Linked DNA regions of Saccharomyces cerevisiae S288C. The main gene of each other region encodes a partner of the protein of the gene in region 2 in a complex. Each region holds a gene or a part of one and is shown on either strand. Other genes may lie near its edges. The genes, in order: VPS75, HHT1, HAT2 and STH1. A codon is read from its position in the direction of its gene.

What was found.
Region 1: the proteins of HHT1 (region 2) and VPS75 are in contact, whole or in part, in a crystal structure (PDB 3Q33), measured with the Saccharomyces cerevisiae proteins. Residues at the interface, in NP_009564.1 of Saccharomyces cerevisiae: Thr12 (codon at 1,852), Gly13 (codon at 1,855), Gly14 (codon at 1,858), Lys15 (codon at 1,861); in NP_014153.1 of Saccharomyces cerevisiae: Ala69 (codon at 1,091), Asn70 (codon at 1,088), Tyr71 (codon at 1,085), Ile72 (codon at 1,082), His196 (codon at 710), Ser199 (codon at 701).
Region 3: the proteins of HHT1 (region 2) and HAT2 are in contact, whole or in part, in a crystal structure (PDB 4PSX), measured with the Saccharomyces cerevisiae proteins. Residues at the interface, in NP_009564.1 of Saccharomyces cerevisiae: Ala2 (codon at 1,822), Arg3 (codon at 1,825), Lys5 (codon at 1,831), Gln6 (codon at 1,834), Thr7 (codon at 1,837), Ala8 (codon at 1,840), Arg9 (codon at 1,843), Lys10 (codon at 1,846), Ser11 (codon at 1,849); in NP_010858.3 of Saccharomyces cerevisiae: Arg32 (codon at 2,923), Leu33 (codon at 2,920), Thr34 (codon at 2,917), Trp35 (codon at 2,914), Pro36 (codon at 2,911), Leu38 (codon at 2,905), His64 (codon at 2,827), Thr65 (codon at 2,824), Ser66 (codon at 2,821), Glu69 (codon at 2,812), Glu120 (codon at 2,659), Thr122 (codon at 2,653), Gly139 (codon at 2,602), Asn162 (codon at 2,533), Tyr164 (codon at 2,527), Asn212 (codon at 2,383), Asp213 (codon at 2,380), Glu229 (codon at 2,332), Asn255 (codon at 2,254), Thr256 (codon at 2,251), Met272 (codon at 2,203), Asn299 (codon at 2,122), Asn300 (codon at 2,119), Asn356 (codon at 1,951), Glu373 (codon at 1,900), Asn375 (codon at 1,894).
Region 4: the proteins of HHT1 (region 2) and STH1 are in contact, whole or in part, in a crystal structure (PDB 6KMJ), measured with the Saccharomyces cerevisiae proteins. Residues at the interface, in NP_009564.1 of Saccharomyces cerevisiae: Thr7 (codon at 1,837), Ala8 (codon at 1,840), Arg9 (codon at 1,843), Lys10 (codon at 1,846), Gly13 (codon at 1,855), Gly14 (codon at 1,858), Lys15 (codon at 1,861), Ala16 (codon at 1,864), Pro17 (codon at 1,867), Arg18 (codon at 1,870), Lys19 (codon at 1,873), Leu21 (codon at 1,879); in NP_012140.1 of Saccharomyces cerevisiae: Asp1267 (codon at 7,379), Asp1270 (codon at 7,388), His1272 (codon at 7,394), Arg1274 (codon at 7,400), Ser1276 (codon at 7,406), Ile1277 (codon at 7,409), Phe1278 (codon at 7,412), Pro1282 (codon at 7,424), Tyr1287 (codon at 7,439), Asp1289 (codon at 7,445), Tyr1290 (codon at 7,448), Val1293 (codon at 7,457), Ala1329 (codon at 7,565), Phe1331 (codon at 7,571), Tyr1332 (codon at 7,574), Asn1333 (codon at 7,577), Glu1334 (codon at 7,580), Gly1336 (codon at 7,586), Ser1337 (codon at 7,589), Trp1338 (codon at 7,592), Val1339 (codon at 7,595), Val1341 (codon at 7,601).

Annotation. Positions count from the first base shown.
Region 1 is NC_001146.8:180,251-186,849, reverse strand, and holds VPS75 (Vps75p), read right to left. Parts: upstream 1,391-6,599; coding exon 1,359-1,390; intron 1,264-1,358; coding exon 501-1,263; downstream 1-500. Other genes in the region: U2-type spliceosomal complex subunit CWC25, read left to right, coding at 1-504; CRS1 (cysteine--tRNA ligase), read right to left, coding at 1,672-3,975; DNA-directed RNA polymerase I subunit RPA49, read left to right, coding at 4,242-5,489; MPA43 (Mpa43p), read left to right, coding at 5,828-6,599. UniProt on the Saccharomyces cerevisiae protein: Histone chaperone which acts as a cofactor stimulating histone H3 acetylation by RTT109. Preferentially stimulates histone H3 'Lys-9' acetylation by RTT109. May also stimulate histone H3 'Lys-56' acetylation by RTT109. Assembles nucleosomes (in vitro).
Region 2 is NC_001134.8:254,513-260,540, forward strand, and holds HHT1 (histone H3), read left to right. Parts: upstream 1-1,818; coding exon 1,819-2,229; downstream 2,230-6,028. Other genes in the region: HHF1 (histone H4), read right to left, coding at 861-1,172; inorganic diphosphatase IPP1, read right to left, coding at 2,600-3,463; YBR012W-A (gag protein), read left to right, coding at 5,357-6,028. UniProt on the Saccharomyces cerevisiae protein: Core component of nucleosome. Nucleosomes wrap and compact DNA into chromatin, limiting DNA accessibility to the cellular machineries which require DNA as a template.
Region 3 is NC_001137.3:43,266-50,183, reverse strand, and holds HAT2 (Hat2p), read right to left. Parts: upstream 3,017-6,918; coding exon 1,811-3,016; downstream 1-1,810. Other genes in the region: POL5 (DNA-directed DNA polymerase), read left to right, coding at 1-1,713; SDD1 (Sdd1p), read left to right, coding at 4,463-5,164; phosphoacetylglucosamine mutase PCM1, read right to left, coding at 5,259-6,918. UniProt on the Saccharomyces cerevisiae protein: Regulatory subunit of the histone acetylase B (HAT-B) complex. The complex acetylates 'Lys-12' of histone H4 which is required for telomeric silencing.
Region 4 is NC_001141.2:114,412-124,164, forward strand, and holds STH1 (RSC chromatin remodeling complex ATPase subunit STH1), read left to right. Parts: upstream 1-3,580; coding exon 3,581-7,660; downstream 7,661-9,753. Other genes in the region: MET18 (Met18p), read left to right, coding at 1-2,493; RRT14 (Rrt14p), read right to left, coding at 2,613-3,233; alpha-ketoglutarate dehydrogenase KGD1, read left to right, coding at 8,278-9,753. UniProt on the Saccharomyces cerevisiae protein: Catalytic component of the chromatin structure-remodeling complex (RSC), which is involved in transcription regulation and nucleosome positioning. RSC is responsible for the transfer of a histone octamer from a nucleosome core particle to naked DNA.

The DNA.
Region 1 (6,599 bases), on a different chromosome or scaffold from region 2:
AATCCCAAGCTTATGAAAAATAGAAAAAAAGTATGGGAGACCGAACAGGATCTAATTACCGAACAGCAGAAGCTTAACACGCGATTGAAAGAAATTGAAAAAGAACGAGAACTAAATGAACTGCTGAACGAATCGAGCAAGGATAAGCCGGAGACTCTCAAGAATGACTTGGCTTTGAAGAAGTCGGGCTTGGAATGGATGTATCAGGATGCAAAACTGAGTGACGAAAAGGAAGACTATTTATTAGGTAAGAAAAAACTAGATTCATCTATACTAAACCAACCTGCAACACCGCCTGTAAGGGCGGCCACTACTATTTCCGCTTCTGGTGCCGCAACATCCATAAGTTCGCAGAAGAAGAAGTCAAAATTGCTTAAAGATGATCCAATGAGTAAGTTTAAGGTAACTAAACAACAAAGAAGAACTCCAGACTCAACAAAAAAAAGAGCAATGTCGCAACGAGGGAAACCGTTGTCCAAGCCCGCTCCGGACCTAGACTACTAAACTTTCCTTTTCTTAGAGCTTGGTTCCTCGTCGGATAGTGGCAAGTCCACCTCACCGAGACTGCCATCGTCATCCTCGCTGTCGCCATCTGCGCTTAACCCGGATTCTCCTTCTTCGTCTTCCAAGTCCCTCTGGGCCTCAGCATAGTACTTCACACAAAAAGGGTAGATCTCTTCACTGAACAATGACGCCAATGAGTCGCCGTGCGGGAACTCCTTCCCGGGTTTTAGGCCGGTCCATCTGAACCAGCCAAATATGGTTTTCATTCCCTGTCTGTACTTTTTTTTACCCTCTGGACTGCGTTTGTCTTTGATCAAGTCCGGGTTTATCGAGTCGTAACTCTGGGGCCACTCAATTGGAACGGGCTCACTAGTCAGTATCCCGTCTTCTTGGTCATCTTTGCCTTTTTTGATTTGGAACACCTTGGTGACTTGCTGCTCTTTGAAGTCTCCCTCAATTCCATGGAAATGGAATGTTATACTAAAATCTCTAGTGTCGTACATTTCAGACTCCAATGCCAGCCATTCTACTTTGATCTTATCTATAGTGTCAATGTATTTAAAATCTGAAGCCCTTATGTAATTCGCAAAACTAACGTGTTGTGAAAGCACAATTTTCCAGAACTCTGCAATTTCGTCAATATACGCGTCCCTCTTTTCATAAACAGGCTTCATTTTGTTCAATCTGTATAATTCTACCTCACGTTCAATAGCGTCCACTTCTTCTTCGCATTTAGCCAATCCTAAGAATGCTTTTGCACTGACCATCTACCGCACTTGCTAAGTGCATATTGTTAGTATAATGGGTTGCTTTATTTTTCCATTTCATGCCCTGCAGAGCTCAATCCTACATACTGCTCGTTCTCGTTTTCTTGGTCACTCATCATTGGCAGTGTTATGCTTCGAAATGTTTGTCGTCAACATCAAGCGCCTAATCATTAGGATGCTTTTCTTCCCTTTTCTCACAAGCGCAGTGTTTGATTTTTTCAATTTTTTCCGCCTGGAATTTTTTCACATTCCAAAATGAAAAGTACATATATAATACAATTAATTATATTAGTTTTTTCTTTCCTCCTTTCCTTTTTCACTATTTTAACGTAAAAAAAGATGGTATATACATATATACGTACTTTTGAATAGTTGCACACATAACGAAGCCACGAGTATTCTATTTGTCTTCACCAAAGTACTCTTCATGTAGCTTCTTTTGTTGTTCCCATTGCTTCTTCAACTTCTTGGTCATACTCTTGGTGATATCATTACCGTCTTTGTCCTTTGTTGGAAGGCCTTGCTCGTCCCAAGCACTGTACAATGTGACATCCTTGAACATATCTTGTGGTTTAATTTGAGCTTTCTGCTTCCTCTCGTTTTCCTTCTGCTCTCTTAATTTCTGCTGTTCCAATTTCTTTTGTTTCTTTGCTAGTTCGTTGGCATGTTTCTCCTCGTTTAGCTTGACAATTTCCAATTTTTCATCGTTAGTCAAAAATTTGATCAAGGCAGATTGTCCATTCCTATCATCCAAGGCAACATTCAAGTTTAGCAAATCTTCGTTTCTAATTTTATCCGTTAATTGCAAGAATTCCTTGGGTTCGGCTTTCTTGATAGCTAAGGAACGTACATCATCTCTAAATGTGGATAAACACTTAACATATGGCATAACAGTGTCTTCCAATGAGCCTAGGGATCCATCGTTGGAGCCAGCTTGGGCTGCCCAACCCAAATTGTCAGGACGGGATGGAAATCCAATTATTCTTAAGATTTTGGTGATGTAGCTACAGATAGCAATCAAGGGCTCAATTTTTAAAGCAGCACCTGCAGTGGTAATGTATGTGTTTGACTTGGTCACTAATTCGCTCAGTGTCTTCAAAGCAACAGGTGTGGATAAATTATCACAGAACGCCGAATGGACTTTCGATTCACTTTCAACAAAATCAGCCAATAATTCTTTCTCTAAGGGACTAAACTTTTTAGAGATATGACCTGCAGAAGCTGCATCGTTCTTCAATGCTCTAATAGTCTTAAAAAAATTGTTCATGGAGTTTTCAAATGACTTTACTTCATGGATCAAAGATTCCTTGAAATCCAATTGATTGTTCCATTGTACTGAGGCAAAAGCCAATCTTAATTGGCGCGGTGAGAATTTTTTCAAAGCTTCTTGAATGGTAATGAAATTCTTTAAGGATTTAGACATTTTTTGACCCTCAATATGTAAATGGCCCGTATGTAAGAAATAGTTGATCCACTGTTGATTGTCGAAGCGAGCCTCGGATTGAGCCAATTCGTTATCATGGTGAGGAAAGGCCAAATCGATGCCACCTGAATGAATATCGATGTTAGAGCCTAGGATATCACTGGCCATCACAGAACATTCAATATGCCATCCTGGTCTACCCTTACCCCATGGTGATTCCCACTCAGGTTCACCTGCCTTGGAAGCCTTCCATAAAGCAAAATCATTATTCGACTTTTTTCCGTTATCAGCAAAGTTGCTTAAGGACCCTTCACCATCATTAATTAAGTCTAACTGGCCCTTATTCCATGGCTGGCATTTAGCATAGTCATGATTTGGGGATTTGTCAAATTTTAAAGTATCAAAGTACACGGAACCGTCGGAAGTGGCATATGCGTAACCATTATCAATAATTTTTTGAACAAAGTCAATAATTTCTGGAACGTACTCAGAAACACGAGTTGTAACGGTGGGAGGTAGCACGTTTAATGATAACATGTCATCATTGAATTTCTGTTCCCAGTAAGCTGGAAGTTGGCGGAAAATCTCTGGATTGCTAATGGTAGAGCCCAATTCTTTATCCAATAGAGGAACCGTAACGTCCTTGACTTTTTCAAAGGCAACTTCTGCGTCCATGGAATCGCCCTTAGTGATTGATTCAATAGCATTTTGAACTGCGGTGACATGCATAGGGAATTTAGGATTCTCCAATTTTAAAGTTTCAGTATCAGCATTCGATAACCAAGTTTCAAATTCTTCGATAGTTTTGATCTCGCTGCCTTGAATAGTAAAATTTTTGTTGATATATTGGAAAAGTGCGGTTTTGACCTTGTCAACAACAGTGGCGTTGAATTTGGTATCATTTTCTTTGACAAAATTGTCAAATAAATAGTTTTGTCTAGCTCTCAAAATAATTTTATCGTCGATATCAGTAACATTTTGCACAAATTGCACGTCGTAACCAAAATAATCTTGAATAATTCTTCTATTGATATCAATAGAGACATAGTTTCTGGCATGACCCATATGGGAGGCATCGTAAACAGTAGGACCGCAAGAGTACCAAGTGACACCTCTATTGCCAGATTGCGGAATGAATTCAACCTTAGATCTTGTTAAACTGTTGTACAACTTCAACACAGTTTCTTTAGCTTGTGGCGTTGGAACCTTCCATTTGGGCTGCACAATCTTCGGCGTAGACATTATAGTATATCTTCTCAGGGCTTTTATGAAGATATTCATGCATAGAATAAGAACTTGACCGGACACCTAATCACCGACGCCAATTAGCAATACTGTTCTTTTCAATTGATAATGTCTTTTGACTCTTCGCGATGAAAAATGTTTGCGGTCACCCGCGCTGAAAATTTTTTATTGCGATGAGCTGAAATTTTCCATCTCATTTTTAATAGTAAGTATTCTTGCATGAACACTAATGATATTAGGAGGGCTTTTTAAGTTGCTACCACTATTGCAGTCGTTATCAACCTTTTGCACTTTATCTAGTAATGTCCGTGAAAAGGTCTGTTTCTGAAATCGAAATTGAAAGTGTTCAAGATCAACCCTCTGTTGCCGTGGGAAGTTTCTTCAAGGGCTTCCGTGCTCCCAGTGACACTACGTTCGACTTATACAAAAAAAAGAAGTCTGAAAAGGACGAATTCGTATTACACGGTGAAAACGAGAGACTAGAATACGAAGGTTATACTGATTCTTCTTCCCAAGCTTCGAACCAGTATGTTGTGGGCCTATTTAATCCAGAAAAGAAAAGTATTCAACTCTACAAGGCTCCCGTACTTGTTTCCAAAGTTGTATCCAAGTCAAGCAAGAATCTAAGGGGTCCAAAAATAAAAAGTAAGAGTGATACTCGTCCATCTGCTTTGAGAAATGCGTTGGGTGAAGCGTTTGGTACTAAAAAGGCTAAAAAAGCTATTGCAGATCTAGAAAGAAACCGTATTGACTCTGATAAGTTGACTGATTCTGCTATTGACATTGTGGATTCCGTGAGAACTGCATCTAAGGATTTACCAACTCGGGCTCAATTGGATGAAATTACTTCCAACGATAGACCTACTCCATTAGCCAATATCGATGCCACTGATGTAGAACAAATTTACCCAATTGAAAGTATAATACCAAAGAAGGAATTACAGTTTATTCGCGTTTCATCAATTCTGAAAGAAGCGGATAAGGAAAAGAAGTTGGAATTGTTCCCATACCAAAACAATTCCAAGTATGTGGCAAAGAAATTGGACTCTTTGACACAACCTTCACAAATGACCAAATTACAGCTACTATACTACTTATCACTATTACTGGGCGTATACGAAAATAGACGCGTGAATAACAAGACGAAGTTGTTAGAAAGGTTGAACAGTCCTCCTGAAATCTTGGTAGATGGTATCTTAAGCAGATTTACCGTGATAAAGCCTGGACAGTTTGGAAGATCAAAGGATCGCTCCTATTTCATTGACCCACAAAATGAAGATAAAATCTTATGCTACATCTTGGCAATCATAATGCATTTGGATAACTTCATTGTTGAAATCACACCCTTAGCACACGAATTGAACTTGAAACCTTCCAAAGTTGTCAGTTTGTTCAGGGTACTTGGTGCTATTGTCAAAGGTGCCACAGTGGCTCAAGCTGAGGCTTTTGGCATTCCAAAAAGTACTGCAGCTTCTTATAAAATTGCCACTATGAAAGTTCCATTTAAGCTACCTGAAATGACAAGAAGAGGAAGAGGTCCAAGACGTTAGAGTTACCTAGAGGTATATACTGAGCATTTGGTTTGCTCTGGTTTTTTTTTTTGCTAGATGGTTCTATAAAGCAGCAAAATATAAGACGGTCCTCCTGATGAGAGGAAGAGAAAAACAAAAATAACTACATAGATATACGCTATTTTTTCTGAGAAGATACATATGTACAAATAGATATTTTACAATAATTTTAAACTTCGCAATAAATTCAATATTAATTCATAGCGTAGTTCGGCTTTCTAGCACCTTAGTAAGCTGAAATTTAAAAATGTATCAGTTTATTTTTTTCAATAAAGGTAACTTTAAATGAGAAACCAACGTGTTATATAGGTGAAATCATGAATAGCAGTCTGCAAGTTGGCATCGGAATTGATGTAGGTTCATCAAGTGCTAGAATAGGTGTATATAATTACTACAATGATGCGCTGTTAGAAATGGCGCAGGAACCAGTCCCATACTACCAGGATTCTTCAAAGAAGTCATGGAAATTCTGGCAAAAATCAACTGAAATAATTAAAGCCCTTCAAAAGTGTCTTCAGAAACTGAACATTAGAGAATATGAGGTAAAGTCATGTGGTGTTTCTGCAACGTGTTCATTAGCTATTTTCGAAAGGGATCGCACAAGTAACATGCTGATACCGTATCCAAATGAAGATAATGTCATATTTTGGATGGACTCTTCTGCCGTAAACGAATGTCAATGGCTAAATATGCAATGTCCACAACAGCTTTTGGATTATTTGGGAGGAAAATTTGTACCCGAAATGGGCGTCCCCAAATTGAAGTACTTTTTAGATGAATACTCTCATTTACGAGACAAACATTTTCATATCTTTGATCTTCATCAATACATTGCTTATGAACTGAGCCGCTTGTATGAATGGAACATTGAAGGACTTTTGGGAAGAGAAAATCTTAATGGTATAGGCAATGATGGAGAGGTATCTGGCTGGTCATCTTCATTTTACAAAAACATTATAAATTTACCATCTAATGTAAGCATTGGAACCACTAGTCTTGTTGCCAATAAGCACATTTCGACAACTGTAGTTCGCAGTTGTATTGACAGTTATGCAAGTTGGTTCGCAGTTGCTTCTCCTCATTTGGAAA
Region 2 (6,028 bases):
GGAAAAACTAGTGATGCGAAATATTGTAGAGAAAAAGCGCAGGGCATTCCTATACTTAGTAATCACCATCATAACGTATTTTAAAATGAAGAAGCGAACCTCAAAGAATTTTCTATACAGAAGAGACCTTTCCGCGCATATACGCGGTAGCGTGTGTCAGCATCAGAGGTTTAGCATAATATATTGCAGAAAATGTGCTAGTAATATTGTTCTCTCTGTTGTCAATGGGCTTACAATTGCCGGCCATCAGTATATGGAGTATCAATGTTCCTTTTGATCGCCAACAAATACTACCTTTTATCCTGCTCTTCCTGCTCTCAGATATTAATGCCGAATTGTTTCATCTTGTCTGTGTAGAAGACCACACACGAAAATCCTGTGATTTTTCATTTTACTTATCATTAATCGAATGTATATCTATTTAATCTGCTTTTCTTGTCTAATAAATATATATGTAAAGTACGCTTTTTGTTGAAATTTTTTAAACCTTTGTTTATTTTTTTTTCTTCATTCCGTAACTCTTCTACCTTCTTTATTTACTTTCTAAAATCCAAATACAAAACATAAAAATAAATAAACACAGAGTAAATTCCCAAATTATTCCATCATTAAAAAATACGAGGCGCGTGTAAGTTACAGACAAGCGATCCCTATTCCATGCAAGTTCGGTAAGTAGCAGAAATAATCAAACTGTTTAAACCCAATTAAAATTAAATTAAATACCCTTTATATGTTTATAATTGTACATATTTCTCCTAAACCCGCTATAATACACTCATATTTGTAGAAGAAAAACCGGGCAGTTGAATACGAATCCCAAATATTTGCTTGTTGTTACCGTTTTCTTAGAATTAGCTAAATTAACCACCGAAACCGTATAAGGTTCTACCTTGTCTCTTCAAAGCATAAACAACATCCAAAGAAGTAACAGTCTTTCTCTTGGCGTGTTCGGTGTAGGTAACAGAGTCTCTGATGACGGATTCCAAGAAGGATTTCAAGACAGCTCTGACTTCTTCGTAGATCAAACCAGAAATACGCTTGACACCACCTCTTCTAGCTAATCTTCTGATAGCTGGCTTAGTAATACCTTGGATGTTATCTCTTAGAATCTTTCTGTGACGCTTGGCACCACCTTTACCTAGACCTTTACCACCTTTACCTCTACCGGACATATTTTACTATATTATATTTGTTGCTTGTTTTTGTTTGTTGCTTTAGTACTATAGAGTACAATAATGCGACGGAAACCATCATATAGAAAAAATATCTCGGTATTTATAGGAAAAAGAATTAGACCTTTTCCACAACCAATTTATCCATCAAATTGGTCTTTACCCAATGAATGGGGAAGGGGGGGTGGCAATTTACCACCGTATTCGCGGGCATTTGCTAAAGTAAACAACTTCGGTTTTTACCACTAACCATTATGGGGAGAAGCGCTCGGAACAGTTTTACTATGTGAAGATGCGAAGTTTTCAGAACGCGGTTTCCAAATTCGGCGGGGAGATACAAAAAAGATTTTTGCTCTCGTTCTCACATTTTCGCATTGTCCCATACATTATCGTTCTCACAATTTCTCACATTTCCTTGCTCTGCACCTTTGCGATCCTGGCCGTAATATCTCTCCTTGACTTTTAGCGTGGAAGATAACGAAATGCCCGGGCGATTTTTCTTTTTGGTACCCTCCACGGCTCCTTGTTGAAATACATATATAAAAGACTGTGTATTCTTCGGGATACATCTCTTTCCTCAACCTTTTATATTCTTTCTTTCTAGTTAATAAGAAAAACATCTAACATAAATATATAAACGCAAACAATGGCCAGAACAAAGCAAACAGCAAGAAAGTCCACTGGTGGTAAGGCCCCAAGAAAGCAATTAGCTTCTAAGGCTGCCAGAAAATCCGCCCCATCTACCGGTGGTGTTAAGAAGCCTCACAGATATAAGCCAGGTACTGTTGCTTTGAGAGAAATCAGAAGATTCCAAAAATCTACTGAACTGTTGATCAGAAAGTTGCCTTTCCAAAGATTGGTCAGAGAAATCGCTCAAGATTTCAAGACCGACTTGAGATTTCAATCTTCTGCCATCGGTGCCTTGCAAGAATCTGTCGAAGCCTACTTAGTCTCTTTATTTGAAGATACCAACTTGGCTGCCATTCACGCCAAGCGTGTCACTATCCAAAAGAAGGATATCAAGTTGGCTAGAAGATTAAGAGGTGAAAGATCATAGTTTGTTGATTGTCATCAGTTTTAGTAAAAAACGAACAAAAACACAATAAAATATAAATCAATATATTTAGGTTTACTGGGTTCTTTAACAGTTGTATAATAGTTATTTTTTATTACAAAAATATAGGTTTTAATAAAAAAAAATAGGGTTCTATTTGTTTTACATTTATTGATTTGTTTTTCCTGGCGATACCCTCGAAAAAAGCCAGGCCTTGTAGGAGGCAAGATTTATGGCTTTCCATGTGGTTAAAGAAAAATTGCAGCAGGAAGATATTCATTCATGAGTCAGTTATATAATCGATATATAGCTACATATTAAACAACTTGAAGCCGCATACGTGGTAGGTGTCTCATTTTCAATTCAAAATATTTTAAACAGAACCGGAGATGAAGAACCACTTGTCAATAGACTTGTCAATTGGAGCATCTGCCTTTGGAGAAGCTGGTGGGATGGCATCAGAGGCAGCCTTGGAGTAGGTTGGGGTGTCAGGCAAAGTAACATTGGTCAAATCAATACCCTTGCTGTCAGAAGACTTACCAGCAATTAATTGTTTCCAGGAGTCATGTGTTTCCTTGATGATATCCAAAGCGTACTTCTTGTTCTTAGCTTCACCGGAGAAGGCAAATTGGTTTTCTGGCTTACCATCTGGGATTTTGTAAATTCTGAACCATTCGTTAGTAGCCCTCAACAGACCTGGGAAGTATTTCTCAACATCCTCAATGTCGTTCAATTTTGGGGCTAATGGATCGTTAATATCAATGGCAATAACTTTCCAATCGGTCTCACCTTCATCCAATAAAGCCATGATACCTAGAGCCTTAACTTGCTTGACTTGACCAGTGTAAGCAATAGTTTCACCAATTTCCAACACATCAATTGGATCGTTGTCACCAACTGCCTTAGTTTCTGGGTGGCTTACGTTTGGGTCTTCCCAAGTTTGTGGGAAAGCACCATAGTTGTGAATGTAACCATGGTGAGGGAAACAGTTTCTAACAAATCTCAACTTGCCCTTCTTGGTGTCTTGGATGATTGGGTTCAAAGTTTCTTCCTTGGTGATTTCTAACTTGGCGTTGGTCCAACGTGGAATTTCAACAACCATGTTGAAAATGTTGTTTTCCTTGTCAGCGTACAAGGGAATGTCGTGGAAGGCAGAAACTGGCTTACCATCCTTTTCGATATAAACTTTGTATTCCAAGGTGTTCTTGGCACCAATTTGTCTGGTAGTGTAGGTCATTAGTAAATTGCGCGGCGGGATATCCTGTTCTATAGACCTAAGGGACAACAAATCAAAATAGATGATTAAGAAAGTAAGTATTCAAAAACAAGTTGTAAATGAACTAACCTTCCTAACTTCGACGCGACCTTAAAACGTCGAAAAAAAACGAGAAAAAGTCATCATGAGACTATCGTATCTAATGACTGTGGCTTCTCCCAACAACCTTAGCGTCTGCGATGACGATATTTTGAAGAACAGTCAAATCCGTTTGAATAGTGCGCCACACAGGGATAATAATAGCACATTGGCATCTCCTTCTGTGAATGAAACACTTCTACCTGGGCTTCAAAGTCCCGCAACCTTTTAGTTACATAAAATTCGGCGGCTAAATCATGATATTATATTGATGGGTAATGTAGCGTTCAGTAAAACGGTTCCTATGTATTACTATCACGTGGGTGGGGAAGACCACATTCTTAGAGAAGAGTAATCATTTTAGCAGATTATTTTTACCTTTTTCAACTCATGAACTCATGTTCAAAGGTACAATATATTACCCTTTCTTCAAAGTATCCGAATGATTTGAACCGCACTCTGAGGGAGCCATCAAATTCTATTGAGCGACTTCGAATCGAACAATCCAATTAAATCAGCCTTTAGCGCCATATTTCTCCTTGTATCCATTGTTTACTTCTCCCTTGTATCTTGTATATGAGAATTATGGGAATAAGATAATTGTTGGGATTCCATTGTTTTCAAAGGCTGTAATATTAGGTACACAGATTATACTAGAAGTTCTTTTCGAGGATATAGGAATCCACAAAAGGAAATCGATAGTTATACATAATAATATTATTGTATCTTACTTCCTTTTATATGTTGTCACTCATTATTGTGTCGTGCATTCCATTAGATTGGATGACTGTTTCTCAATCTTTATGCCATCCTCTTACACCGCATGTGATATAATAGTAACATGAGTGCTGCGAAATAGATGATATTAAAATTTCATTCCAACAAAGTTCCATATATATCCATATATATATATATATTTCACGAGGATAATGAGTTAAAATACTATGTAAAGGTATTGTGGTTCATTTTTCTTTTATCAATTTTTATCCAAGTTTTTCTGATCTATAACATGTCCAATACACTTTTTCGAACTATAACCGCCAACAAATTTATCTTATAGACGAGAAACACTTTTATGATATCGATGTTCTACACCTACTGCCGATAACACCGTGTTTTCACTATTATAGCATATACCATTTTTGTAACCAATGTGTTGTTGTAATTCTCCGCAAGGCATATCCCAGATATTCTTATATGGCCCATTTCCACTTCGTTGAAGCCTCACATCAAAAGAGCAATCTTGAGATAATTTCAAAACCACACACATCGCTGCAGTTTCATAATATCTGTCATCACTGATGCAATAATTAAGTGACGAAATTATATCATTATTAACAGCTGTATTATTATTATAATCAAGACAAGCTGAATTTGATGCAAATATATATTCCCATTCAGTGCCGTTTCTTTCGAATTTATAGAAATCACTTCTTTGTAGGTAATTGTTCTGGCTTACTTTGAGCTTATTCATGTTAAAGTAATTGTTGGAATAAAAATCCACTATCGTCTATCAACTAATAGTTATATTATCAATATATTATCATATACGGTGTTAAGATGATGACATAAGTTATGAGAAGCTGTCATCGAAGTTAGAGGAAGCTGAAGTGCAAGGATTGATAATGTAATAGGATAATGAAACATATAAAACGGAATGAGGAATAATCGCAATATTAGTATGTAGAAATATAGATTCCATTTTGAGGATTCCTATATCCTCGAGGAGAACTTCTAGTATATTCTGTATACCTAATATTATAGCCTTTATCAACAATGGAATCCCAACAATTATCTAATTACCCACATATATCTCATGGTAGCGCCTGTGCTTCGGTTACTTCTAAGGAAGTCCACACAAATCAAGATCCGTTAGACGTTTCAGCTTCCAAAATTCAAGAATATGATAAGGCTTCCACTAAGGCTAACTCTCAACAGACAACAACACCTGCTTCATCAGCTGTTCCAGAGAACCCCCATCATGCCTCTCCTCAACCTGCTTCAGTACCACCTCCACAGAATGGGCCGTACCCACAGCAGTGCATGATGACCCAAAACCAAGCCAATCCATCTGGTTGGTCATTTTACGGACACCCATCTATGATTCCGTATACACCTTATCAAATGTCGCCTATGTACTTTCCACCTGGGCCACAATCACAGTTTCCGCAGTATCCATCATCAGTTGGAACGCCTCTGAGCACTCCATCACCTGAGTCAGGTAATACATTTACTGATTCATCCTCAGCGGACTCTGATATGACATCCACTAAAAAATATGTCAGACCACCACCAATGTTAACCTCACCTAATGACTTTCCAAATTGGGTTAAAACATACATCAAATTTTTACAAAACTCGAATCTCGGTGGTATTATTCCGACAGTAAACGGAAAACCCGTACGTCCGATCACTGATGATGAACTCACCTTCTTGTATAACGCTTTT
Region 3 (6,918 bases), on a different chromosome or scaffold from region 2:
ACTGTTCTTGCCCAATTACTCGATGTGTTTTTTCTACAGTTACAAGATAAAAAGGGAGTTTTATCTCATACCCTTTTTGCTCTTGATTCCATCCTTCATATAGTTCGTGCACACAAAGTCGAAATCAATGACATGGACATAATGAAGCCCGTGTTGAGACCCATCGTATATATGGCTTTCTTCAAACATACATCAGATGATCTGAAGTTAGAACAGCTACACGAATTAGCCAAGGAAAGACTTTATTCCATCCTGGGAGAGTTGACAATAAACAAAGAAATACGTTGCAAAGATCCTGAAATAAACTCATGGCAATATCTGACATTAAAGTTAATACTGGACATTGAAAATTCTCATGTAGGAGATTTAATCAATCCACTGGACGAAAATTTAGAAAATATAAAAAACGAAGCTATATCTTGCTTGAGTAAAGTTTGCAGATCAAGAACTGCTCAATCTTGGGGTCTAAGCACGTTGTTATCTATGTGCTTAGTACAATTATATGCAGGTGACACCGATTCTATTTCTGTGATCGAAGAACTTTGCGAATTTTCCAAACACGAGAATAACTCAATGGTAGGCATCACTGAAATCTTACTATCACTTTTAGCCCAAAAGAAGGCCTTACTCAGGAAATTGAGTTTAATAATCTGGCAGCAGTTTATTGAAGAAGTTGGTTTGGAAGAATTGCAAATTTTATTAGATATTTTAAAAGCGAGAGAAAACAAGCAAGGTTTTGCCCAGCTATTCGAAGGAGAAGAAGAATTTGAAGAAATTAAGGAAGAAAATGATGCCAGTGAAGACGAATCGAAAACTGGTAGTGAAAGTGAAAGTGAAAGTGAGAGTGATAGCGATGATGCTGATGAAAAAGATGAAGAAGACGAGGCAAATGAAGATATTTTGAATATTGATAAAGAGGCCACTAGCGCCTTAGTGAAGGCGTTAAATTTACCCGATAACATAGTTAATGATAAAGGGGAAGTTGACTTAGACCAACTCGAAGGGCTTTCTGACGACGGTGGAGACGATGAAGATGAGGAGTCTATGGATGATGAAAAAATGATGGAATTAGATGATCAGTTATCCGAAATTTTCAAACGTCGTAAGGAAGCATTATCAAGCATATCTACTGGAAACCAGAGGAAATTTGAGGTAAAACAATCTAGGGAAAACGTTATCTCGTTCAAGCATAGAGTTGTCGACATGTTAGCCGTTTACGTCAAATATTGTGAAAAATTGACTCTTGCTAATAAAAGTGAACATTCCAACAATTTAGGAGGCTCATTAAGCAAGCTCGTTTATTTTATTATCCCAATGCTGAAATGTGTCAATGAAACTCTTGATAGGCCACTTGCCGACAAAATTTCTAAATTGTTGAAGGGTAAAATATTCAAGATAAAAGTAACTGCATTCAAAGACATGAACAAAGACATCGAGCTTATGGATTTGTTGAAAAAAACACACAAGCTGATGCTGACTTCTAAGCCAGGTCAGCATGCTGCAGTGTTTTATTCAATGTGCTCAACCAGCTCACTGTTTTTGAGTAAGTTATACGTTGAAATCGGTGGTAACGACAAGCTTGACGAATTGATTGACTTGTATACTGCAACTACCAAAGAGTGGATGCAAAAAGGAAAATGTGGACCTAACATTTTTATTGATTTCATCAATTGGCTATCTTCAAAAAAGCAAACTGTAATGGATAAGGAATAATCTAAGTATATTTTATCACTCCTCAAAATCGGATTATGTATGTTGATCTTTGTTTAATTACGCCTTTTCGCCAAAGAAACAATAAAAAAACTATATATTAGCTTATTATATCCTTGTTCACCTTTGGTGGACCTCCCACGATGGGTAGACTATGGGAACACTTCCAAACTTGTAAAATATTTTCTTCTTCAGCACTTGCTACCAACCAAGGTATTTGAGGGTTCAAATCAAAATCATTCACTGAACTTCTGTGACCTGCGTGGACCATGATCAATTCAGGAACGCCGTCTTCCGCGTCATCAGGTGTTTGTTCTGCTCCAATTTGTTTCAAATCCCACATCATCAATCTATTGTCTGACCCGCTGGATACAACTACACCGTCAACATGGGTTGAAAATTCCAAATTGTTCACTGCATCTTCATGACCCGACATATGGTGTAATGGTTCCTTCATGTTTCTTAGATCATATAGATAAACATACGAGTCCATACCTGCGGCCGCAAGGAGGTTTGAGGAATGATGACTAAATGCTAATGTGTTGAAAGGTTGCGGGCATTTCACAGTATCGATCGTAGTATTGTTTGCCCTGACGTCATTTATTTTTAAGAGAGAATCTTCTGAAACAGTGCCGAATAGATCTTTATTGAAGTTGTGCCATTTATTATCATTAATAATATCAGAATGTAAATCATTCCAAGTTCGTACTGGTTTTGTAGGGTCACCGCCACTCCCCACTTCCCAGAGAGCGACTGTATGATCATCTGAGCCGGAAAGCAATCGCCCTTTGACCAAAGTGCTAAATGATAAAGCATAACCGTTATCCTTATGAAATTTTAGTGTTGACTGAAGACCTTCTGAGCGAGAATAGAGGAAAACTGTGCCTTGCCCATTTATTGTGGCGACAATATTAGGGTCTTGAGGCATATATCGGGCTCTAGTGATTTCTTCTTCGTGCTCATATTTAGCGGTAATCCTTATATTTGACCTAGGAGCAGGTAGAGAGGACTGATACTCCTCTCCTGCTTCTTCTTGTGGGTCTTCATTACTAAGAATTTCCTTTGGTAGATTAATTTCTGCGAATTTCAAATAGTTTTCTTCTTCACCAGAAGTGTGCGTACCGATGATTAATTCTTGTTTAATAAAGCCACCATCTAATTCTTGAACAGGAGTAGGGAGCCATTGGACGGTTAAAGATGGCCATGTTAAACGTGTCTCGCTAACAAAGTCATACATTAATGGAACATTGGATTTCCATAAATCGTACTCCTCGTCTACAGAAAGCGGTTTCTCTTGGTTTTCCATAGTTGATTGGTAATTTGCTATTTGGTGACTACTAGGCTAACCACAATTGATAGGAGAGATAAGAGAGGCAGAAGTATTAGAGGCATAGTAACGTCTTTCTAGTTATTCTCCATTATTATTTTCAAGGTTTGTCTTTGTCATGTCGACGAATGCCAGTGAAAACATCCGTACACCTCACAAATTGTTATTTTGAACAGAACAGACGAGCTACTCATCAAGTATCAAATAGACTGAACAAATGACCTAATCTTTCTAGATTACTCCAAAAGAAAAAGCTGAAAGGAAACCGGTTAAAAACATGAAAGCTTTCTGTAGGGAAGTTTTTTCCTCGCTCTGCTCCTGAGCCTACAGGAGCATGGAAATGGTTGAAAGGACCGAGGAAGAAAGGGAGCATGTCAAATAGAACAAGAGGAAAAAAAAGGTGAAAACAGCTATTTTAAGCAGCAGAAGTTTGAGTCAGAAATGCCTACAATATATGAGAATTTCTTCGCACATGGTTTAAAAAAACTAAATAATCCGCGTGATAACGTTCTCACCAGATTATGAAATCAAATAACAATGCCCCACCTGTATATTGCGATTGACGTAAACGGTAATAAATGTAAAATTTAACATAAAAAAGGGTAAAGAAAACAAACTTTTTCAGGGGTCATCCCTTTTTGTTTTCTTTTTCATTCTTATAAATCAAGAGTATTTTATCGGTAGACAGTTTAGCCGCCGATTTTGTACCGCAGTCCAATATTAGTAAATGTTGGGCACCACTTTGAACATACCGACTCATTGAGACTGCAAGAGCAATTATTTTATATTCTTCTTGAGGCGCCGTTAAAGAGAGAATGAACACGACAATTATCTACAGCATGCAATCGTGGTCAGAATTCTAACTTTTTGTCTTATAAATGCGCACGTATTATTTTCATTTATGTATATATAGATAAATCAGAGCATTGAGTAGTAAAACTGAAGGCTCAAGAGTTCTGATACGCGATGAGAATTCGTGCAGTTAGGATGTCAATTTTGCCAAAATTGGGACGGGCGGCTGCCGTCCGGGGATTCCATGAAGAGAGTGGAAAAAAAAGTGTCACTAACTTCCCACAGGTATCCCCGACACCCTATCCTGCGCTAAGAAAGCCAATCGGCTGAATGTGCAATTGATTGACGTTGAAGGAAAAGAAAAAAAGGAGAAAATTGGGGCGATAATAACAATCACAAACGTCTTCCACTTTTTATCAAATGTTGCGGGAAGAAATAAGGGTAAAATGCCTTGTGTAGGTTCATACATATATAAATAAGTAAGGAAGTTAAAAGAAACCCTTCAAAATGTAACCTACATCATGCGTAGGCTTAATATTAAGCGGAGAAAATCGGCAAGCCCAAGCTTATATTCATATTATGGAATACAAAAGGCGAAAAAGAAAATTGACTAGTAACTAAATTGAAAATTAAATGGCAAATGATGGGATTCAGAGGAATGACAACAGAAAGGGTTTTAAAACTGTACAGTTCTCGGCTTATTCTAAAGAAATTGACGTCATAATGAAAAAAATATCATTCTTGGAAAGAAACATTACCCAACAACTAGATACTCTTCCTCATTTTCCAAAAACCTTACCACCAAATCACAAAGATTGTGTAAGTAGAAAGCACAGGGCCAGGCGAGGTTGGAGTAGTCAGCTGAAAAACTTGCTAGGCATTTACTCCAAAGAGGAAATTTTTACTCTGGATAATTTAGCTGCAACACTGCATGATCAAGTTTTAAAGTTACAAGCTACACTTTTTCCCAATGCCATACTGAAACAGGTTCATCTCGACAATGCCAACATAGAAAACAAGAGAATTCTGAAGGAAATTACATATAAATACCTTTCCAACGAAAACTGTAAAGAGGAGAACAAATTCGGAACATTCATCGTAAAGAGAATTTTTTTTGGTGACTTATCACTCGGGGTTTCCGTGTTAATCAACCGTATTGCTTTCGAATCGGCCACATCATCCATTATGGTAGTGAGAAGTTCATTTATTGAAAGTGATTTCTTTTATGAAGATTATTTGATTTTCGATTGCAGAGCGAAACGACGAAAAAAATTGAAGAGGAAAATTTTGTTTATTTCCACTACCATGAATTTCAATTACCAAACCAAAGTCTAAGCCTGTAACAAACGTTGATTGATACCAATATTTTTTCTCTTTCATTTATCTCTCTGTATATCTAAATAGCTATACTATACATCGAATAATGCTTTCAAGCAGATGCCTTAACGTGCTCCACCACTTCGTCACAAAATTGACCTAACTTAGAGGAGTCCTTACATTCCGCATAAACCCTCACCGCATCCTCCGTACCACTGGCTCTGACAAAGCTTCTTCCCATGGGATACTTGGCTACCACAAGATCTATCTTGTCTTGCAACCCCACTGGATTGAGCAATTTTCTTTCCTGGTCCGTGGTTTGGAAAATTGACCTATCAGGAACGATGCACTTAACCAGCTTGTTGGGCAAATCAGTATACTCTTCATCCCAATCCATTGGCGACATTTTCAAAATCGCCAAAGTAGCAAGGACAGCAAGCATGTCTGAAATAGCATCTCCCACGGTCTGATTAATCAATTCAGAGAAACACTTCAAAGTTCTCAAAGCTAACGTATCACCATTTAACTTGGACTTGGATAATTCAGATTTGATAGTTCGATGAAATTTTTCGCTGAATATAATCGTACCATGTCCATTTGCTTCGAAATAAATGCCAATATCGTACTGAGTGGCAGCTTCATGATGCAAGTGTTTAACACCTGTCTTAGTGCAAGACACGGGACAGTGCAACGTATTTTTTATGTAAGCGGTGGAACTGCCGTTTGCATAGGCAGTTTGCACAACACCAATCTTCAAAGAATGTTCTAGGTGTGCCAATTCTAGTTGTTTAGACAAGAACTTTGCAAACAAAGTGGAAATTTTGTCACCATCCAACAAATGAAATTTTGATCCTGAGTCGACATAGTAGAACACAACCCTGTCTGCGTCACCATCAAAGGAGCAATATAGCGAATCAAACGAGGATGGAGAAAGACCCTTGGGTAATCTCTGGTTAGTCTTCACATAATCCGCACCGCATTCAAAATTCAACAGTTCTGGAACATCGGACCTGTCGTTGATTACCTCAACTTGCTCCGCTGGCACGTCCCAATCTTCGGAGGCCAGTAGTTTTTTCAACTGTGGACCACCGATACCATTGGCTGTGTCTATGAACAATTTTGGGACAGACAGCCTCTTCTCCAGCTGATACGTGGCGAAGAGCTCGTTGAAGGCTCCTATAAAGAACGAATAGTAGTCCTGTTCTGTGGCAACTGGCGCTGTGTCTCCTTCCAGTTTCCGCCTGTTGGACAAATCAGTAATGTAATGCAATTGAGGCGTAGTGACACAGCCTAGGTCCAAAACTTGCGCGTGGAAGACGCTGGCCATGGAGGAAGTCAAGCAGCGCAGCAAGTATGGACTACTTTCCCTAGAGTCTCTCCCAACCACGATGTGAGGCACGACGGTTGTATTCAAATCAATCTTTTCGTGTTCAATCAGCTTGGCCAACTCAACACGAAATTCTTCAAAATTAGTGGCAAAAGAGGCCGCATTGGCCAACTGCATGGCATATGGCTCCCATGTGGCCAAAAGCATCGATCCGTCTGGTTCCACGATCTTGACCCCGTTGTCCTGGTATGGGTTGTGCGACGCCGTGATCATCACCCCCACATACTGACCCTGAAGCTTCAGCGACCTGAGAACCGCCAGTATACCAGTACTGAACATCACCGTATCCAAATTCTTGGCCAGCGTTCTGAATCCGGCCGTACCGTAACTGAACTGCACATTCTTTGTGCGGCACGTGTCATCGTAGAGTTTGCACAATTGCTCG
Region 4 (9,753 bases), on a different chromosome or scaffold from region 2:
ACATCGTCCTTGCAAAACGTGGAGAATTTTAAAGAAGACTTATTTGATGTCTTATTTTGCTATTTCCCAATCACTTTCAAGCCACCAAAGCATGATCCTTACAAGATCTCCAACCAAGATTTAAAAACAGCTTTGCGATCAGCAATTACTGCGACGCCATTATTTGCCGAAGATGCTTATAGCAATTTGCTGGACAAACTCACTGCTTCTTCACCGGTAGTGAAAAATGATACACTTCTGACGCTATTAGAATGCGTTAGAAAATTCGGCGGCTCTTCTATATTGGAAAATTGGACGTTACTTTGGAACGCTTTGAAATTTGAAATTATGCAAAACAGCGAAGGAAATGAAAACACTCTACTAAATCCGTACAATAAAGACCAACAGAGTGATGATGTGGGCCAATATACTAACTACGATGCTTGCTTGAAAATTATTAATCTAATGGCATTGCAACTATACAATTTTGACAAAGTATCATTTGAAAAGTTCTTCACTCATGTATTAGATGAGTTGAAACCAAATTTTAAATATGAAAAGGATTTGAAGCAAACCTGCCAGATTTTGTCCGCTATAGGTAGTGGGAATGTCGAGATATTTAACAAGGTCATTTCGTCAACTTTCCCCTTATTTTTGATCAATACATCTGAAGTTGCCAAACTTAAGCTGCTGATTATGAATTTTTCTTTTTTTGTTGACTCGTACATTGATTTGTTTGGAAGAACATCTAAAGAATCGTTGGGAACACCGGTGCCAAATAATAAAATGGCTGAATACAAAGACGAGATCATAATGATTTTGAGCATGGCCTTGACAAGAAGCTCCAAGGCAGAGGTTACCATAAGGACTCTATCTGTGATTCAATTCACAAAAATGATTAAAATGAAGGGCTTTTTAACCCCAGAGGAAGTTTCACTAATTATTCAATACTTCACGGAAGAAATATTAACGGATAACAACAAAAACATTTACTATGCTTGTTTGGAAGGGTTAAAGACAATCAGTGAGATATATGAGGATTTAGTTTTTGAAATATCATTGAAGAAATTATTGGATTTGTTACCTGATTGCTTCGAGGAAAAAATTCGAGTAAATGATGAGGAAAATATTCACATTGAAACAATTTTGAAGATTATTCTTGATTTCACCACTTCGAGACATATTTTGGTCAAAGAAAGCATTACATTTTTAGCGACAAAATTGAATAGGGTAGCTAAAATTTCGAAATCCAGAGAATATTGCTTTCTACTTATTTCAACCATATATTCTCTTTTTAATAATAATAATCAAAATGAGAACGTGCTAAATGAAGAAGATGCTCTTGCACTCAAGAATGCCATTGAGCCAAAATTATTTGAGATAATTACTCAGGAATCGGCCATTGTAAGTGACAATTACAATTTGACACTTCTATCTAACGTTCTTTTCTTCACCAATTTGAAAATTCCACAGGCTGCACACCAAGAAGAACTAGACAGATATAACGAGCTTTTCATTTCTGAAGGTAAGATAAGAATCTTAGACACACCGAATGTATTGGCTATTTCATATGCTAAAATATTATCCGCACTAAATAAAAACTGCCAATTCCCCCAAAAATTTACAGTGCTTTTCGGAACGGTTCAACTACTCAAAAAACATGCTCCAAGAATGACGGAGACTGAAAAATTAGGATACCTGGAATTGCTGTTGGTCTTATCAAATAAATTCGTCTCTGAAAAAGATGTGATAGGATTATTCGATTGGAAAGACTTATCAGTAATTAATCTTGAAGTGATGGTTTGGTTGACTAAAGGGCTGATAATGCAAAACTCATTAGAGTCATCAGAAATTGCAAAAAAGTTTATTGATTTACTGTCTAATGAAGAGATTGGCTCACTTGTATCGAAGCTATTCGAAGTTTTTGTCATGGATATCAGTTCTTTGAAGAAATTTAAAGGTATCAGTTGGAATAATAACGTTAAAATCTTGTACAAACAAAAATTCTTCGGTGACATTTTTCAAACACTAGTCAGCAACTATAAAAATACCGTGGACATGACCATTAAATGCAATTATTTAACTGCATTATCCTTAGTGTTGAAGCATACTCCAAGCCAATCGGTTGGTCCTTTTATCAACGATTTATTCCCGCTTTTATTGCAGGCTTTGGATATGCCTGATCCTGAAGTAAGGGTATCCGCTTTAGAAACTCTGAAGGACACTACGGATAAACATCACACTTTAATTACTGAACACGTAAGCACAATAGTTCCATTATTACTATCTCTTTCGCTTCCGCACAAATATAATAGTGTCAGTGTCAGGTTAATAGCCTTACAGCTTCTAGAAATGATTACGACTGTAGTACCTCTAAACTATTGTTTGAGCTATCAGGACGATGTTCTAAGCGCTTTAATACCAGTTTTATCTGACAAAAAAAGAATAATAAGAAAGCAATGCGTTGACACAAGACAGGTTTATTATGAATTAGGCCAAATCCCGTTCGAGTAAACGCTTGTATTTAATAATTTGTTCACATTGATGAGCACGTGAAAATCTTAGCGAGTATACTAAGTAAATATGATTCTTTTATGTATAGTACAGCAAAATAGCATTTATTTTTATTACGTTTAATCTTCTTCACTAGAGTCTTCCTCGTCGCTTAGTCCTACAGGTGCCAAACCCGGTGTCAGACCAGGATATCTATGATCTTTAACAAAATCGCTCTCTTTGATATCTTCCTTGAATTGTTTTCTTTTGAACCTTCTTCTTTTACTCCTGTCTGTGTTCGCAGTGGAAACTGTATCCTTCAAGATGGATTGCTGAATGTCTTCAAGCTCATCTCGTACTTCCTCTTCTAAATCCCACGACCTCAAATTTTGAGAATTCCTTTTGATTAACTTATTCAAATACTTCCTCTCATGGTCCGTTAATGTGCCCTCATGTTGATGTTTTTTCAAAACCTGGTGTTTTGCCAGTTGTTCAAGTTGCTCTTTATCTAATTTATGTTTCTTAACTTTTTTTTTTTTGACCAGTTTGCATTTTTTTTTAATTTTGTGAACGTCTCTGTTTTGTAACTGTACTCTCTTTTTCAAGTTCCTGTCGATTAACTGAGCTTTTGACCCATTGTTTACACTTGTTTTGCCATTATTAGCTCTGATTTTGGGAACGCCAGGCAAAAGGTTTGATAGCAGTCCATTAACAACCGAGGTGGCCTGGTATTTAGATGTTTGGCTCAGCGAAGATGACATTTTGGCCTAGCTAGCTCCCTCCTTAAGTTGTTCGTATTCTAAACAACTTTTCCACAAAACAATATTTCCACAGTTGCCAGCTATATTTCCATATTCCTTAGTTAAAGCTCATCGCAAAATTTTTCAAAGAGCATTAGGGTCACGTGTATACATTCACGTGACTATCTAGTACCCGCCCCGTGGCAAAAAAAGAAGACACCAATTTGGCACTGAGAAAAGAAAAAGTTTATCAATAACGAAAACGAAACTTAAGAGGAAAAAGAGTATAGAGAAAAACAAAGGCAATCAGCGGCTAATTTGGTGGAAATAACAACACAAAGAGGCAGCACAGTTTAGAGCAAGCGCGAATGCTTCAGGAACAATCTGAGTTGATGAGCACGGTGATGAATAATACACCTACAACAGTTGCCGCATTGGCTGCGGTTGCTGCAGCCTCTGAAACAAATGGAAAGCTGGGGTCCGAGGAACAACCTGAAATCACTATTCCAAAGCCGAGGAGTAGTGCACAGTTGGAGCAGCTACTCTACCGCTATAGGGCTATTCAAAACCATCCAAAGGAAAACAAGTTGGAGATCAAGGCAATAGAAGACACTTTTAGGAATATATCACGTGATCAGGATATCTACGAAACAAAGTTGGATACCTTGAGAAAGAGTATAGATAAAGGATTTCAGTACGATGAGGATTTATTGAATAAACACTTGGTTGCCTTACAGTTACTGGAGAAAGATACAGATGTCCCTGACTACTTCTTAGACTTACCAGACACCAAGAACGATAACACTACGGCGATCGAAGTAGACTATTCTGAAAAGAAACCAATAAAAATATCAGCAGATTTCAATGCGAAGGCCAAAAGTTTGGGTTTAGAATCAAAATTTTCTAACGCTACGAAGACTGCATTGGGCGATCCAGATACCGAAATAAGGATTTCTGCACGTATATCCAACAGAATTAACGAGCTGGAAAGATTACCTGCCAATCTGGGTACATACTCACTAGATGATTGTTTAGAGTTTATTACAAAAGATGATTTATCGTCCAGAATGGATACTTTCAAAATCAAAGCTCTTGTGGAATTGAAAAGTTTAAAGCTACTAACTAAACAAAAATCGATTAGGCAAAAGTTAATCAACAATGTTGCCAGCCAGGCACACCACAATATTCCATATCTACGTGATTCTCCTTTCACAGCAGCTGCACAAAGATCTGTTCAAATTAGAAGCAAAGTTATTGTCCCACAAACCGTTCGTTTGGCAGAAGAATTAGAAAGGCAACAACTATTGGAAAAAAGAAAAAAGGAACGTAATTTACATTTACAAAAAATAAACAGCATCATTGATTTCATCAAAGAAAGGCAGTCCGAGCAATGGTCTCGTCAAGAACGTTGCTTTCAGTTCGGTAGATTAGGCGCTTCATTACACAATCAAATGGAGAAAGATGAACAGAAAAGAATAGAAAGAACTGCTAAGCAACGTTTAGCTGCTTTGAAGTCTAACGATGAGGAGGCTTATTTAAAGCTTTTAGATCAAACTAAGGATACTAGAATTACACAGTTATTGAGGCAGACTAATTCCTTTTTGGATTCTTTGTCGGAGGCTGTTAGAGCACAACAAAACGAAGCAAAAATTCTTCATGGTGAGGAAGTCCAACCAATTACAGATGAAGAAAGAGAAAAGACTGACTATTATGAAGTCGCTCATAGGATCAAAGAAAAAATTGATAAACAACCTTCTATTCTTGTTGGCGGCACTTTAAAAGAGTATCAATTACGAGGTTTAGAATGGATGGTGTCGTTGTACAATAATCATTTGAACGGTATTCTAGCAGATGAGATGGGTTTAGGTAAAACCATCCAATCTATTTCTCTAATAACATATCTTTATGAAGTTAAGAAAGACATCGGCCCTTTCCTAGTCATTGTACCTTTATCCACAATAACCAATTGGACTTTAGAATTTGAAAAATGGGCTCCGAGCTTAAACACTATTATATACAAAGGTACACCAAATCAAAGACACTCTTTACAGCATCAAATAAGGGTTGGAAATTTTGACGTCTTATTGACAACATATGAGTATATTATTAAAGATAAATCTCTTTTATCAAAACATGATTGGGCTCATATGATCATTGACGAAGGTCATAGAATGAAAAATGCTCAATCGAAGTTATCATTCACAATTTCTCATTATTATCGTACAAGAAACAGATTGATTTTAACGGGTACTCCTTTGCAGAACAATCTACCAGAATTATGGGCACTGTTGAACTTTGTTTTGCCTAAAATTTTCAATTCTGCGAAGACTTTTGAAGATTGGTTTAATACTCCATTTGCCAACACCGGTACCCAAGAGAAACTAGAATTAACGGAAGAAGAAACTCTGTTAATTATTAGAAGATTACATAAGGTGTTAAGGCCATTTTTATTGCGTCGTTTGAAAAAGGAAGTGGAAAAGGATTTGCCTGATAAAGTGGAAAAAGTTATCAAATGTAAACTGTCTGGTTTGCAACAACAGTTATATCAGCAAATGCTAAAGCATAACGCGCTATTTGTTGGTGCAGGGACTGAGGGGGCTACAAAGGGTGGTATTAAAGGTTTGAACAATAAGATTATGCAATTAAGAAAAATCTGCAACCATCCATTCGTATTTGATGAAGTGGAAGGTGTTGTAAACCCCTCAAGAGGTAATAGTGATTTACTTTTCAGAGTAGCGGGCAAGTTTGAATTACTGGATAGAGTGCTACCGAAATTCAAAGCCTCAGGCCACAGAGTGCTAATGTTTTTCCAAATGACTCAAGTTATGGATATTATGGAAGACTTCCTAAGAATGAAAGATTTGAAGTATATGAGATTAGATGGTAGCACTAAGACTGAAGAAAGAACAGAAATGCTGAATGCATTTAATGCTCCAGATTCAGATTATTTCTGTTTCCTTTTGTCAACTAGAGCCGGTGGTTTGGGTTTGAATTTACAAACTGCAGATACGGTGATCATCTTTGATACAGATTGGAATCCACACCAAGATTTACAGGCCCAAGATAGAGCTCACAGAATTGGACAAAAGAATGAGGTTAGAATTTTAAGATTAATTACCACTGATTCCGTAGAGGAAGTTATTTTGGAAAGAGCTATGCAGAAATTGGACATTGACGGCAAGGTTATCCAGGCAGGTAAGTTTGATAACAAATCAACTGCAGAAGAGCAAGAAGCTTTTTTGAGAAGATTGATCGAAAGTGAAACGAACAGGGATGATGATGACAAAGCAGAATTAGATGACGATGAGTTAAACGATACTTTGGCCAGAAGCGCTGATGAAAAAATACTATTTGATAAAATTGATAAGGAGAGAATGAACCAAGAAAGAGCAGATGCTAAAGCGCAAGGCCTGAGAGTCCCTCCTCCTAGATTGATTCAATTAGACGAGCTACCCAAAGTATTCAGAGAAGACATTGAAGAACATTTCAAGAAAGAGGATTCTGAACCATTGGGAAGGATTAGACAAAAGAAAAGAGTTTACTATGATGACGGTCTAACTGAAGAACAATTTTTGGAGGCTGTAGAAGATGATAATATGTCTTTAGAAGATGCCATTAAAAAAAGACGTGAAGCACGTGAAAGAAGGAGATTACGTCAAAATGGTACAAAAGAGAATGAAATAGAAACCCTGGAAAACACGCCTGAAGCATCCGAAACTTCATTGATTGAGAACAATAGCTTCACTGCAGCTGTGGATGAGGAAACTAATGCTGATAAAGAGACTACAGCTTCCAGGTCAAAACGCCGGAGTAGTAGAAAGAAAAGGACCATTAGCATTGTTACGGCAGAAGACAAAGAGAATACTCAAGAAGAGAGTACATCTCAAGAAAACGGGGGCGCTAAGGTGGAAGAGGAAGTAAAAAGTAGCTCCGTTGAAATTATAAATGGTTCAGAATCCAAGAAAAAGAAACCGAAACTGACCGTCAAGATCAAACTAAACAAAACAACTGTGTTGGAGAATAATGATGGTAAGCGAGCAGAAGAAAAGCCAGAGAGTAAATCGCCCGCGAAGAAGACTGCAGCCAAAAAAACTAAAACTAAATCCAAGTCGCTTGGGATTTTTCCCACGGTGGAAAAATTGGTGGAAGAAATGCGCGAACAGTTAGATGAGGTAGACTCCCATCCAAGGACGTCCATTTTTGAAAAGCTTCCTTCGAAACGCGACTATCCGGACTATTTTAAAGTAATTGAAAAACCCATGGCCATTGATATTATATTGAAAAACTGCAAGAATGGCACTTACAAAACTTTGGAGGAGGTAAGGCAAGCCTTACAAACGATGTTTGAAAATGCTAGATTCTATAATGAAGAGGGATCCTGGGTTTACGTTGATGCTGACAAGTTAAATGAGTTTACTGATGAATGGTTCAAGGAACACTCTTCGTAACGTTTTCATCACCACATGTTTTTTTTTTTTACGACTATATCCCTTTCCCCTCTAATACTCTTTCTAGCCTTTTTTTCTACCTCTACATATGTTTATAAAATATATACCACTGTAACAATAAGATCGACAGAGCGAATATAATTCTTTGAGTAACTAATATCCTTTGGCTTATTCTCTGGGCTTATTAGTGCCGCAAAATAATTACCCGGCGGCGATGGACCAGTTAGCTTCGACCGTTTGCGATTCCGGGGCTAAGGAAGGGGCCTCTGCAAATAAGAAAGAGGCATTACACATAAATGATTGGCAAAGGGACTGCGGGAGTCAAGACCTACATGTAAGTCCGATTTACGATAACGGTTTAGATTCATTGGGTGTGTACTATTTATACTTTAACAAACCCGTGTGTTATTTAATAAGATCATATCTTGTTTGTTTTTCGCCCTCAATTTTGTTTCTGTCACATAGTCGCAGCAGCTGAATATAGATAGGAAGAGAGAAGGAAGCGATTCTCGTTCAGCATCATACTTCTTCCTAATTTCCCCAAATTAAAGTTTCGTTTGAAAGAAACAACAAAAGAGAAAGAAAGCAGTTTTTAGAAAATACTAAATTTTACCGTTATGCTAAGGTTCGTGTCTTCGCAAACCTGCCGGTATAGTTCAAGAGGACTATTAAAAACATCTTTACTTAAAAATGCATCTACTGTCAAAATTGTCGGAAGAGGGTTAGCCACCACTGGTACAGATAATTTTCTATCGACATCAAATGCCACCTATATCGATGAAATGTACCAAGCTTGGCAAAAAGACCCATCTTCAGTCCATGTTTCATGGGACGCATATTTCAAGAATATGTCTAACCCAAAGATTCCAGCTACAAAGGCTTTTCAGGCTCCTCCCAGTATCAGTAACTTTCCCCAGGGTACCGAAGCAGCTCCCTTAGGGACCGCAATGACTGGTTCAGTAGATGAGAACGTCTCCATTCATCTAAAAGTGCAATTGCTATGTAGAGCTTACCAAGTTAGAGGTCATTTAAAAGCCCATATAGATCCTTTAGGGATCTCATTTGGTAGTAATAAAAATAACCCTGTTCCTCCGGAATTGACTCTAGACTACTACGGCTTTAGCAAACACGATCTTGATAAAGAAATCAACCTAGGACCTGGTATCCTGCCAAGGTTTGCAAGGGACGGGAAATCTAAAATGTCTCTGAAAGAGATTGTGGATCATCTAGAAAAGTTATATTGTTCCTCTTATGGGGTACAATACACACATATTCCATCTAAGCAAAAGTGTGATTGGTTAAGAGAGAGAATTGAGATTCCTGAACCTTACCAATATACAGTGGACCAAAAGAGACAAATCTTAGATAGATTAACATGGGCCACTTCTTTTGAGTCATTCTTATCTACAAAATTTCCAAATGATAAGAGGTTCGGTTTAGAAGGTTTGGAAAGTGTTGTTCCAGGTATTAAAACTTTGGTTGATCGTTCTGTTGAATTGGGTGTAGAAGATATTGTTTTGGGTATGGCTCACCGTGGTAGATTGAACGTTTTATCCAATGTGGTCCGTAAACCAAATGAATCTATTTTTTCTGAATTTAAGGGTTCGAGCGCTCGCGATGATATTGAAGGATCGGGTGATGTCAAGTACCATTTGGGTATGAACTACCAAAGACCAACTACGTCTGGTAAGTACGTCAATTTATCGCTGGTGGCAAATCCTTCTCATTTAGAATCCCAAGATCCAGTTGTTCTTGGTAGAACTAGAGCTTTATTGCATGCCAAGAACGATTTGAAGGAAAAAACAAAGGCCTTAGGTGTGTTATTACATGGTGATGCTGCTTTTGCTGGGCAGGGTGTTGTTTATGAAACCATGGGTTTCTTGACCCTACCAGAATACTCTACTGGTGGTACTATTCATGTTATTACAAACAACCAGATCGGATTCACTACGGATCCAAGATTTGCAAGGTCCACACCATATCCTTCCGATTTGGCTAAGGCCATTGATGCCCCAATTTTCCATGTTAACGCTAATGACGTGGAAGCTGTGACCTTTATTTTCAATTTAGCCGCAGAATGGAGACATAAGTTC